Linked DNA regions of Oreochromis niloticus. The protein of the gene in region 3 purifies or fractionates together with the protein of the main gene of each other region. This does not show direct contact. Links are inferred from orthologs where the notes say so. Each region holds a gene or a part of one and is shown on either strand. Other genes may lie near its edges.

Region 1 (3,754 bases), on a different chromosome or scaffold from region 3:
CCCCAAAAATAAAATATAATCACTGAAATCCTTTAACTAGCTTTCAAACTAGCTCAACTTTACTAATAAGCTAAAATAAAGGAGCAATAATGGTATGTTAATTTGAAGTGTCACATTTGGTAGATTATGCATTAACAAGATGACTTACCACAAGCAGAACACTATCTGCCTTTATCTCCCAGTGCAGAAGAATTGATAAGCATTTCCAGAATTACCTGTTTGCTAAACTTCTACTCAGAAGACTGATGTCCCTTCTGGTGCTCATGTGTCTTTTACTGCCTCACCTGTTTATCGACCAATTTTAGCCCCAGTGTTAGTATTTTTACCCAGCAATTTCACAGAATAAATCAACAGCAAACCTTTCAGTCGCCTGCCTTCTGTGACTACTTTACAGAGGGATAGCTATTAAAATGAGGGGTTTTGTAACAGAGTAAAAGTGGTGACAAACAGAGGAAAGCAGACCCAATGAAATAGTTGATGATGCTCCAGATCTGCTGGGTTACCGTTGCTGTGGAGCACAGTCTGGAAAACACTAATTTAGAGCGTTGGTGAAAGCTTCCATGCATTACTTTTCACTCTATGCTATTCATACTAACAAAAACCAAAAGATACTATGCAACTCTGTATCGGTCAGTTCAGTTATGAGAATTTATTTCAGCAAATATTGACATGTAAATTAAAAGGGATAAAAAAAAAAAGATGTTCAGCCGGTTTTCCCGTGAAACTTTCACTTTAATAAAGAGGGAACCAATAGAAACGCTCAATTTGGAAGCCAGGAAGAAAGTTGAAAGCATGCAGAATTACTTTAGTACAGCAGATTTCCCTTACTACAGTGGTTAGCCAGGTTCCGTTTCTTAATAAAGTTAGAACTCGACACTTCACTTGACTCCAATTCTGATTAATTTTTAGTATGTGAGGTTTTTCTTCTCTAGTTAAACTTTAATTCAGTCTCTTACTAGTAGACTAGAGACCTGGCGTGTTTCTGCATGTAAAACTAGACCTCAAAATGGGCCTTCCAACATGACAGCTAGCTTTTCCAGAAATAACACCAAACTCGTTAGGTTACCTCCAATCCAAGCTCAGTCACGTGGACGGTGGCTCTGTAAGCAGCGTGCAAGCTCAACCCTGATCCTCATTGTTTCCATATCAAGTAACTCTTCGCTATCAACGAAGGCCCACACTGTCGAATGTGTATTTAGCTAACTAGCTAGCGGACAGACAGCAAAGTCTAAGCACACCACCTGTGCAAAACAGTTAGCATACTAGAAGCTAAACGAGCAGCACGAAAACGTTATACCGCTCCAGAAACACTTATAAACGCCAAGTGATCGCATGCAAAATATTCCACTAGACCGTTATTATGCTTTCTGACTACCCCGAGAAAACCAATAACTTATTGGTAGTTATAAAAATAAGATATGGCAGCAGGCCTGTGGCAGCACTGAGCAGGTGGGCCATGCATACACGCAGCAGTTTTCGGTCACTTTTCTCTAAGAAATATTACATGACATTTGTGGACTATTACTTCGAAGTATCACGAACATTTGATTGAGCAAGTTTTCGTGTCGTTTAATTAAAAGCGGTTGTCATCGCCTCAAGAACTGCAACGTTAAGTACTGCTGGTTCATTTGAATGGAAGGACCTGGGGCCTGTTAGCTCACGTTACCATGCTGGTGGTATTCCAATGAGGCTTAGGGGGGGCATTAGCAAGCACTTTTTAGTACTTCAGCAGTTCAATGACACGACAGGCCAAATGTTTAAAATAACAACACACAACTGACCAAAATTAAATTATTGTGTGGCGTTAGCTTTGGTCAAAATGGTGCAGAATCAAAGAGCGATCTGAAGTCCAAAAATAAGAGACTGCACGAGTTGTTTTGGAGGCTAATGATAGCGAGCTAGCTTAGCTACCTGGTTGCTGTAAGAAGCCATGCTCCCGGTGAGGTTTTCTGTCCTCCGCTGACGAGATGAAGAATCCCCCGGGAAGGTGTTGTAGGTTTCTACTGACAGCTACAAAAGGTGGTCTACTTCGACGTCATTGTCATTTACCCAACGGTGTCCTGCCAGTCGAAAGTTTTGATCTATGTAATGCATCAGCACTTCATGCTGTTCGCCTTGCCGTCACCGCCATTTCTGTCTAGCATCTCCCTTGCTTGCTAGCCAGAGCAGCGCGCGGTCGGTTGTAACGGCAGCGTGAGCTCAGGGAGTAACGCCAAATACTTCCGATGAGTACTGATTCTAAGATTTCATAATAAAAAGGCTTCATTAATACTTTTGGTACGAATACCACTACTTACAATGATAACAATAATAATATTAACAATACTCGAAAATTTAATAGAAAAAAATTAACGGGTGCAGATGGTTGATTTTATATTTACAAAGTTTCAGCATTTAGACAGTAAATGAACCGAAAGAACAAAACCCAGTGTGGATAGTAACCAAAATTAAACTCAACTGAAAAATAAACTAACACTAAATAAAATATAATAGAATATAAAATTGCACTCCAAGATCCTGCAAAGGTTTCAAGGGATGGTGAAAAAAATCACATTCAGTGTAGCTTTAGATTGTAAGTGCTAATTATGATTGCTGATCGTTTACACTCACTGATAGGTTATCTTGCTTGTGTTCATCACAGCTATATCATATCAGATCAGATCAGATCTTAACGACCGCATAGTACCATATTATCCCAACATCACACCGCCCTCTAAGACTACAGGATTATTTGTGGTTTCTAGAGTTTCTAGAGAGTCTCTGCAGTTTTAATATTAGACTCAAAACATTTGTTTCGACAAAGCTTATACATGATAAGGCTGGATAAAGGCCTGGATAAGATGACCATGATCCTTCACTTATTCATGCTGCAATTTGCTCAGACTGCTGTAAAACAAGTAATACACTGTGGTGTACTGAGGACTTCCTCTCCAATCACTTCTTCCCTCCTCCAGTCTGTGTTTTTTCTTGTCTCTCTGTGCTCTCTTTTCTCTTATCTTTCTTCCTTTATCTTTTCAATCACCCACTACTGGTCATGGTGGATGGTTGAACCTCACTGAGTCTGGTTCTGCTGGAGGTTTCTTCCAGTTAAAAGGGAGTTTTTCTTTCCTACCATCGCAAAGTGCTTGTTCATACTAGGTTGTCTTTACATTACAGTACAAACTGCTTTAAAACAACTATCGTATTGAATTGGTGCTAAATAAATAAACCTAAATTCCATTTAATAGCACTAAATATTCAGCTTTTAATTTACATGAAAATTCTCCAATTGTCTCGTGGTCATGTCTTAAAGAAATGCACAGAAGAATCTGTTACCTATAATTACAGATTGCAGAGCAAGTTAAGAACTCGAGACATTTATTTTGAAATCTATGAATGCCTCGGCGGAAATGCTAAAAGTAATGCTATGAGTTTACAAGTATGAACGCATGCGCGGTGTGTGTTCTCATCTCAGCCTGGACGTGAATCGCATTTTTTTTTCTTTTTCTTTTTGAAAGTTAAATAAAAATTAACTTTTTATTTTAAGCACATTTTTTGTTGTTTTTTATGAACCTTGGTGGTTTAAGCTGCACAAATTCAGTCAAAACAGTGAAATAAACAGCAGCAACTACATGCACTCAAATGTAATAAAACCCCATGTGCCTTTTAAATAAGTAATGCCTTCGACAGTGCAGGACAACACCCAAACTAGTGGGCGTGGTACAACACAGGTGAGGGAAGAAGGTAATCTCAAACAGGAACCCGCGACAGGTGA
Region 2 (3,754 bases), on a different chromosome or scaffold from region 3:
GTGTCCGCCTGCACCTGAACGCAACGCAGACCCAACCTGGTGAAGAGCCGAGTATACGCTTGGCAAACAGACTCGTACGTCTGATGAGCGGCTTCTTCGCTCACGTCAAAGGAGTACATGTCCTTCATGTAAAACTCCCTCCCTCGGAGAAGACCAAACTTCGGCTTTGGCTCGTCTCTGAATTTGCGGGTGATCTGTTTTTTGGGTTTTTCCAAAATAAATCATGTCAGAAAAAACAAACAAACTGCAGCTTGTTGCAGCAAAAACACTGACAGTAAGAACGGGCTGAATGCTTACTTGGTAAAGAAGCAGTGGGAGCTGTCTGTAGGAGAGAGTCGCCTGGTGAGCAACGAGAGTCGTCACTGCTTCCTCGTGAGTGGGACCCAGGCAGTAGTCAGCGCCGTGCCGGTCTTTCAGGCGGAACAGCTCCTTTCCCATCAAATCCCAGCGCTCACTGGTTTTCCAGAGGTCGGCCGAGCACAAACTGGGCATGTCCAGCTTCTGCCCTCCAATCCCCTGCATCTCCTGGTCAATCACTCTCACCTGTTGATCAAAGACAGCAGTTCAAATCAGGAGGTTGGAAGATAAACATCAGCAATCACGCAAAAATTGATAGGAAACTAGAAAAAAAGGCATTTCTGTACCCTTTTCCCTTTAGTCAAGAGCTACTGTTTGACTTTATCATTTTAGCCCAATAAACATATAATCTAATCTAATATATTCGATTACATAATCATATAATCTATGTGATTAGATTAATTAGGTTTTATAATCTTATAATCCACAATAATCTAAGAGGGAAAAGAGACTGTCTGGACAACGTTCACAACCTAAACTAATGTAGAGCCTGTGGCAACAGACTACTGCTTTGATAGACGCCATGTAAGAGGATGACTGTCATTCTGAACCTGTCATAAAGCAAATTATTGAGCGTGTTATTATTTGTAAGATCTAAAGGAACATTCATACAGCATTTGCACGCCCCAGGATAAATTAACAAAATGAAAACAGTATTAAAAAATTCTTAAAAAAAGAAACTATTATCAGTTCAGTTACTTGGCAGGACAAAACCAGCCAATAATATTACTTTATTATTATTATTATCACTCTCACCAGCTTCTCCATGGAGCGGATGGTGGCAGGAAGGTAGTAGTAGCACCCTGGGCTGGATGGATGAATAAGCCCAGCCTGCTGCATGAGCCTCTGGCTCTTGCAGCTCATCTCCCCTGGCAACCGGCTGTCCTGCGCCACATCACGTAAGTTCGAAGGCTGGTAGAGACGAGACACCAGAAGTACGGGCTTTCTACCACAGGAGGGCGCGGAAGCAGGGACGGCTGCCTGCTCAGCACAGCCTGAGTCGAACCTCTTCGGAAGGATCAGGGTCCTGTGGAGGCGGCGAAAGGCTCTCTGCCAAAGCTGAAGCATTACAGGCTCCATGGTACATAAGGATGTGCTGCTATTCAAAGAGAAATGATAGCACAATCATTTGAAGCTGGATAAGTGACCTCACCTCGCTAGTTAGCACACAGTGCCACGTAATAACTGCAAAATCCTCAAATGTGAGATTTTTTCCCTTTTTCATGGCTTATATGACAGCTAAGTTTAGAGTTTTTGACTGCTAGTTAAACAAAACGAGCACTGAAGAAACATCCTCATCACAGAGCACTCGTTCTTCTTTACTGGCCATTAGGAAAAATCTGTGTGTTTACATGGAGATATTTTTAATACATTTCCCAGTTTTTCAATTTTATGATACTTTTCACAGAAAAGAAAATATGTTCACGGAACACTGTAGTTTTTACTCTTTCATATTTATTGTGGTAACACTTTACACGCACTTATAATGGACTTCCTCCATGCTACGCTGCTTATTAAACCTCAGTGAAGGGGGTGAACCATCAGCACAGATGCTTTTTTAGGTAGCAGGTTATTTCATATCCGAGAACAAGTTGTTTAACCCCAGTAATTATATACAGGTTGTAGGGTTTATCCAGCCGAAACAGCCACGGGTTATTACACAAATACAGAGGACTGATAGCTGTTTCACAGTGCTGATGTCCCTGACAGATACATGGATGCTAGCAGGTTAGCTTGGCAGCTAATGTGAAAATGACCTTCTTCAGTTTGCACGCGATATCACGTATGCAGTAAGAAAGACTCACCTTGAGACCGATAACCAGTGTCTGACTGTCCTGTGTAAATTATATAACTAAATGAAGGAAGAGCCACATTTTTTTTACTAAGTTCGCAAAAACACTGAAGGTCCTGCTACACTACAACATGCTGCGTTTCTTCCTCAGCTACATGTCGACAGGCCCCTTGTCTGAGAACGCCCCCTAGAGGGCCGGAGGAGTACTGCAGCAGCAGGGGGCAGTTTTGACTCAGAGAATATGGATGAGATTTGTCACAAAGCTGGCTCTTTTAACAACAATCGCCATGAATGAAATCCAAACAACATAACAATGTTACTTGATTAAGTGAGTAGAGGTGGGCGGGTCTATCCAAATATCAACAGTATCGACACCAGTATGAGAGTGATAGTATCGATACTTTGTTTCTGTCATGTAAGTTCAGTATGTAGCACACTGACATGTGTTTAATATTTTGCAATGAAAAAATATACATCAAACATGCACATTGAGAAATGTACAAACTGTTTTGTGATAAAATCTAAGCATGGATATGTAGATAATAATTATTTAATAATTGCATAATAATTCTAAAAAGACGAGGTTGTAAATAATTTTTTAATGTGAACGTAATATGTCACATATTCTGTGAATATTTTCGATTTTTTTATCTTTTAGTGTAAAAATGATCAATGCATAGAAAAAAAGGAACAGAAAATAGTAATTAATGTATGATGACTACATAACTACTATAACTACTCTATACTCTTATACTGCTGACACTTTATTCACTTATAGTTACTTCTTCACTTATTCAGTCAAACTGTGTATATACTGTATATTCTGTGTATTTGTTATCTCGCTCTTATTGCCTGTTTATGCGCTGTTCTTATCTTCATCATCATGCTGCTCTGTTGTATCTTAATTGCCCCTTGGGGATAAATAAAGTCTTTCTGATTCTGATTCTGATTCTGACATATTTCTGACTTTTGGCTGTACTCACAAGGACTGAATCATTTTTTTTATAGTTGAAATTCATCAAATTTTTCTAAGTATAATTCTCACCTGTGTTTGTTAGAAGTTTTGCTTTAAAACTGTGTGAAGAAAAAGAAAACGCTGTGAACAGAGAGTGAATTCTGGACAATAATATTCACTTTTGATTCTCTGGGTTATTCCAGTGATGTGGCTGCTTGAGAGGTCTTATTTGACTACTCAGTGCCTGGAAAACCTGTCTTTTGAGTAAATGAACTTGAAGACCAGTTCATTTTACTGTATGGTGAAACTGGTCTGATATGTCTTTGTGACGTGAACTTTTTCCTACTCTAGCCTAAAACGACAGAAAGATGGCTGTGTTATAATATAAATGTCAAAGTCACTCCAATGAAACATTTATGTTTTCCTTTACCTTTTCAAATTAGGAACTTCTGTCAGTTTACAACCATCCTAACTACCCATGAGGCTCTGGGGACAAAATGTTTGTGATTGTCACAGTACGTTATCATTTTCATCTTCTTATGAATTTCAATAAAGGGAACACAGACGCAAGAATAAATCTGAGGTAGCAGACAAACTCAGGAGAATACCTTGAAGAGTATTAAAATAAAACTGAACTGAACAAAATAGTT
Region 3 (3,754 bases):
ACACACACAGACATAGCTTACATTTTTGTGCATGCTTAACATGGAACGGGTATTTCAGGCAATTATACACACCCCCGGTCAGTTTAATGACCCTGTAACTGTGGCCTTGAGTCTGTGAACATTCCCTTACCAAACAGGAAATCCCCTGACAACTGTCAGATAGCAAGTTTAGCTTAGAGGACCAGAACATTATGGGACAGTCAGCTCAGACTATGATGTTAAAAAATTACTCATTTGAAATGACACACTTATCTGCTCTAGCCTGACAGATGTTGACAGTAATACCAGCAGAGCAAGCTACACAGCTAGCCACAATAAAGACAAAGCCAGTGCACTTTTGTACATTAAAATGAAAGACCAACTGAGGGAATAACTAAACAGTCAATACTGCACAACAGGGAGAGGTCAGAAGAGAGAGTGGACTGAGTCAGACAGATACTGTCCTAGATGGATGTATTCTAAAACAACACTATAAAAGCCTGAAAATAGCTCAGTGGGTGGCATTAATGTAGTGGCAAGGGGATTATGGAGCAGTGAGCAGAGTGTAATCTAGGACTTACAGTTTAATTATGTGAGGGTGCCTGAAAAGCTTGAGGTTCTGGATCTCCCGGCGAATCTTTCCCACCACGTCCAAACTGCGGATCTTCTGTCTGTTCAAGATCTTCACTGCCACTTGATGCTTGGTCAGCTCATGTTGGCCCACTGAAGGAAAAAAAGAGTGGATGGAGCAATTCTATTACAACCAAGGCCATATAAAATAGGGAAGGATGACGTATTATGCAAAACAAGTCATCTTCACGCAACTTAAGGAAATGTGTAATTTGTTGTTTACACTATTAGGATAAAGGTTACCGGACATGCTACGAATCTTAGAGGTGAAACCTATTTTGGAAACAGAAGGCAGCATGGTGGATGAAGGACAGCAGCAATAGGACCAATATCGTGAAGTCAGTGTGAGGAATGGCAGATCTAAATCACCACTTCCTATCACAATTTTAACAATATAAAAAATAAAAGCATTCAAATTAAAGGAAAAAAAAAATGGAAGGATGGAAAAAAAAAAGTATTTTGTATTCAGTCAACCATATTCAATCACTCAGGCATATCACAGCATAGCTTTGTCATTTGGTATTATGGAAAGACTGTAAAACAGCTCTCTTGTTTTTGTTTTTTGCTGAAACTGGCTGCCTACTGAGTGTGATAAATCTAATGCTGAAACGAAAGTCCTTGAAGCAAATCTTGCCATGCACAATGTTGAAACACCTTCCAGCACCTATTGGGCACATACTTACGAAACATCAGTCAAAGCTAACCAAAGCCTTACTTCATCTGCTGTTTAAATTCAAGAGTCTTTGAACGCCACATCTCTACTTTATAAAGTCTCTAGCTGAAAGTGACTTAATGTGGGTGACCTAATGTAAATACATTAAGTCACCCACAAAAAAAAAAAAAGAGAAAGAAATCCTAGCACATGCTAAATGATCTGTAAAGGTGAGTGGGGATACACAGTCAATACATGAGCAAATAGGTCAAATACAGAGTCCTCATAACTGAAAGCGGTAAGAAGCCGCACCAGAAACAAAAAGATAACATCTGAATGGACGGTGGGAAGACAGCGCATTTGCCCATGGGAGTTAGCAAACAGCTGGTTTTGATTTACCAGCTGTGTCGGTAGTAATCAAGACCATAATCACACAGCACCAACTCCAGCTCTTTTCCCTCAACATCAACAAATAGCTGAGAGCTGGGAGATGACTCATTGGGAATTAACCGATCACACAGCTTGTGGTGGTTCCACTCCATTTCGATATATATTGTGGTTTCAGTGTTTCTACTGAACAGAACAGCCTGTAAGGTAAACAAAACAAGCAACGCGCAGACACGATTACTTTTCAGGAAAAAAAACAGGTTTTTTTAGTCTATTGCGTGTTGATAGTTGTATATTGACTTAAGCTTCTAAGCGTTCAGCCCTCTGCACTGACAAAGTGGGCGTAGATTCAGCAGAGTTTGTCCAACTCTCTCCATCTAAACTTCAGAATTAACACTGAATGCTTGAAACAGGCGACAAATACGACTCATGGGAAAAGAAGTTGTGAATGAATGTAGTGCAGAGTTGGGTTTAAAGGCAAGAGAGAGGAAACCGTACTTTACCGATTAAAATGTACTCTTGCTAGCGGCAACATCAATGAAGAGGGCTGACTTCCCGGTGTATGTCTCAACAAGCGCTTCGCTCGCTAGCACGCAACGCAACCGACGCTAAATGGCAAACTACGTGACCAGCTACAGGCCAATTTCATAAAACTTCCAGTGTCTTGTTTATCTTAGAAACGACAACGACACGCTCTAAAACCTGCGTTTTGTCACACACAAAAAAAGTTCTGATAATAGCGCGACAACAAGTGTGTTGCCTCCCCAGCACTGCGACAAGTTAGCTTTCCTAGTATGCTAGCTTAGCAGCTAAGCTAAAAGCTCCCTCTCCCACCGTCTCGCAGCTGGCAGGATGCATAAACGCCTGAGACAGTTACACATACCTTTAACCTTCCCAAACGTCCCCACTCCGAGAGTGTCTCCAAGAATGTAATGTCCAATTTTCACTCTTCCTTCATGCTTCGCTTTTTCCGTCGCCATCTTCCCGCAATGGCCTTGCTGCGGGGTTAGCTAGCTGCGGTAGAGATGGACCGGACTCCGCTATGTGTTTCTCCACTCTAGCGGCTCCGCTCAACACTGAGGGTGGGAGGCGTCCCGGCTCCTGTGCGATTCGTCAAAATCGTCAACGACGTAACATGTTGCATTTAAATGCTCTCAATAAACTCCGAAATTGTTAATCTGGGTGAAGTTCACGTTGTAAACTTGTTTTGGCCGGAAAATCTATCGTATAGGCTAAATCAGGGTCAGGAAGTGAAAGGAGAGAAAATGTGCGTTAGACATATATGAGATAGATAAATTATGATGTGCCCAATCAAATACTATGGAAACTCTGGATAAAGTCAGCAGTTTTCTGCCAATATGAAAAAAGGATTTTTGGCTGCTCCCTTATTGGGGCCCTATTTTTATCTGTCTAAATACAACATAAAAAGATTTTAAGAACTGACAAAATACCATCAGGATTATATAAAGGGAGTTACATAGTTCATACAGCATGAAATACATTAATACAGTGAACTATGTTTCATAAGAATCCATTCTCATAATCGTCTCAAATATATTTCCAATGCCTTGTTAACTTCATAAAAAGTATATAAACAAAAGCTGCACTCCAGTCCAAACTATCCAAATTACATTAAATGCCGCTTCAGCAAGGGCAAATTAGACAGGCTTATTGTATGCGCAGATTTCTGTTGCCTGGTGACAAAATCAGGTTTTGTAGGTTTATACTTAAGGCACAGTGTACAAGTGAAGGAGCATTTTAATGTAGATAGTGCACAGCACTGTTTGGAAGCAGAAAGCTCAATGTGGCGAATGAATCAGCAAACTCTGCTGAAATATGACTCCTGGTCCATAATTTATGCTGGAAAATCACGTTGAAATGAGTCATAGCCTGAAGATCAGTAAATATGGCTCGATTGTGTTGGAGTAAGTATATAATGCACCATTCTTTCCCCTATACTATTCAGTTCTGCAACATGGCAAATCCAGTTCATAGTTGTGGTTTTAGGCTCTTGTTTATGAGGTGGATATATATTTTTCCATCATCCCACCCTTCTGTATTTGTTGCACTTATTGTTAACTGTTAAAAATATTGAAAAGTTTCAAA

Evidence for each region. Proteins that work in one complex are often made in the same cells at the same time.
Region 1: the proteins of prkaa1 (region 3) and usp10 purify together in Homo sapiens (affinity purification with western blotting; 3 studies listed by BioGRID). This does not show direct contact. The link is inferred for Oreochromis niloticus from reciprocal best matches to the Homo sapiens genes PRKAA1 and USP10.
Region 2: the proteins of prkaa1 (region 3) and pars2 purify together in Homo sapiens (affinity purification with mass spectrometry; 3 studies listed by BioGRID and IntAct, with this or other methods). This does not show direct contact. The link is inferred for Oreochromis niloticus from reciprocal best matches to the Homo sapiens genes PRKAA1 and PARS2.

Annotation. Positions count from the first base shown.
Region 1 is NC_031965.2:21,778,177-21,781,930, forward strand, and holds the start of usp10 (ubiquitin carboxyl-terminal hydrolase 10), read right to left. Parts: upstream 2,218-3,754; 5' UTR 1,933-2,217; coding exon 1,912-1,932; intron 1-1,911. UniProt on the Homo sapiens protein: Hydrolase that can remove conjugated ubiquitin from target proteins such as p53/TP53, RPS2/us5, RPS3/us3, RPS10/eS10, BECN1, SNX3 and CFTR.
Region 2 is NC_031981.2:3,038,127-3,041,880, reverse strand, and holds the start of pars2 (putative proline--tRNA ligase, mitochondrial), read right to left. Parts: upstream 2,345-3,754; 5' UTR 2,163-2,344; intron 1,457-2,162; 5' UTR 1,438-1,456; coding exon 1,114-1,437; intron 544-1,113; coding exon 298-543; intron 195-297; coding exon 1-194. UniProt on the Homo sapiens protein: Mitochondrial aminoacyl-tRNA synthetase that catalyzes the specific attachment of the proline amino acid (aa) to the homologous transfer RNA (tRNA), further participating in protein synthesis.
Region 3 is NC_031972.2:15,617,505-15,621,258, reverse strand, and holds the start of prkaa1 (5'-AMP-activated protein kinase catalytic subunit alpha-1), read right to left. Parts: upstream 2,644-3,754; 5' UTR 2,629-2,643; coding exon 2,532-2,628; intron 703-2,531; coding exon 561-702; intron 1-560. UniProt on the Homo sapiens protein: Catalytic subunit of AMP-activated protein kinase (AMPK), an energy sensor protein kinase that plays a key role in regulating cellular energy metabolism.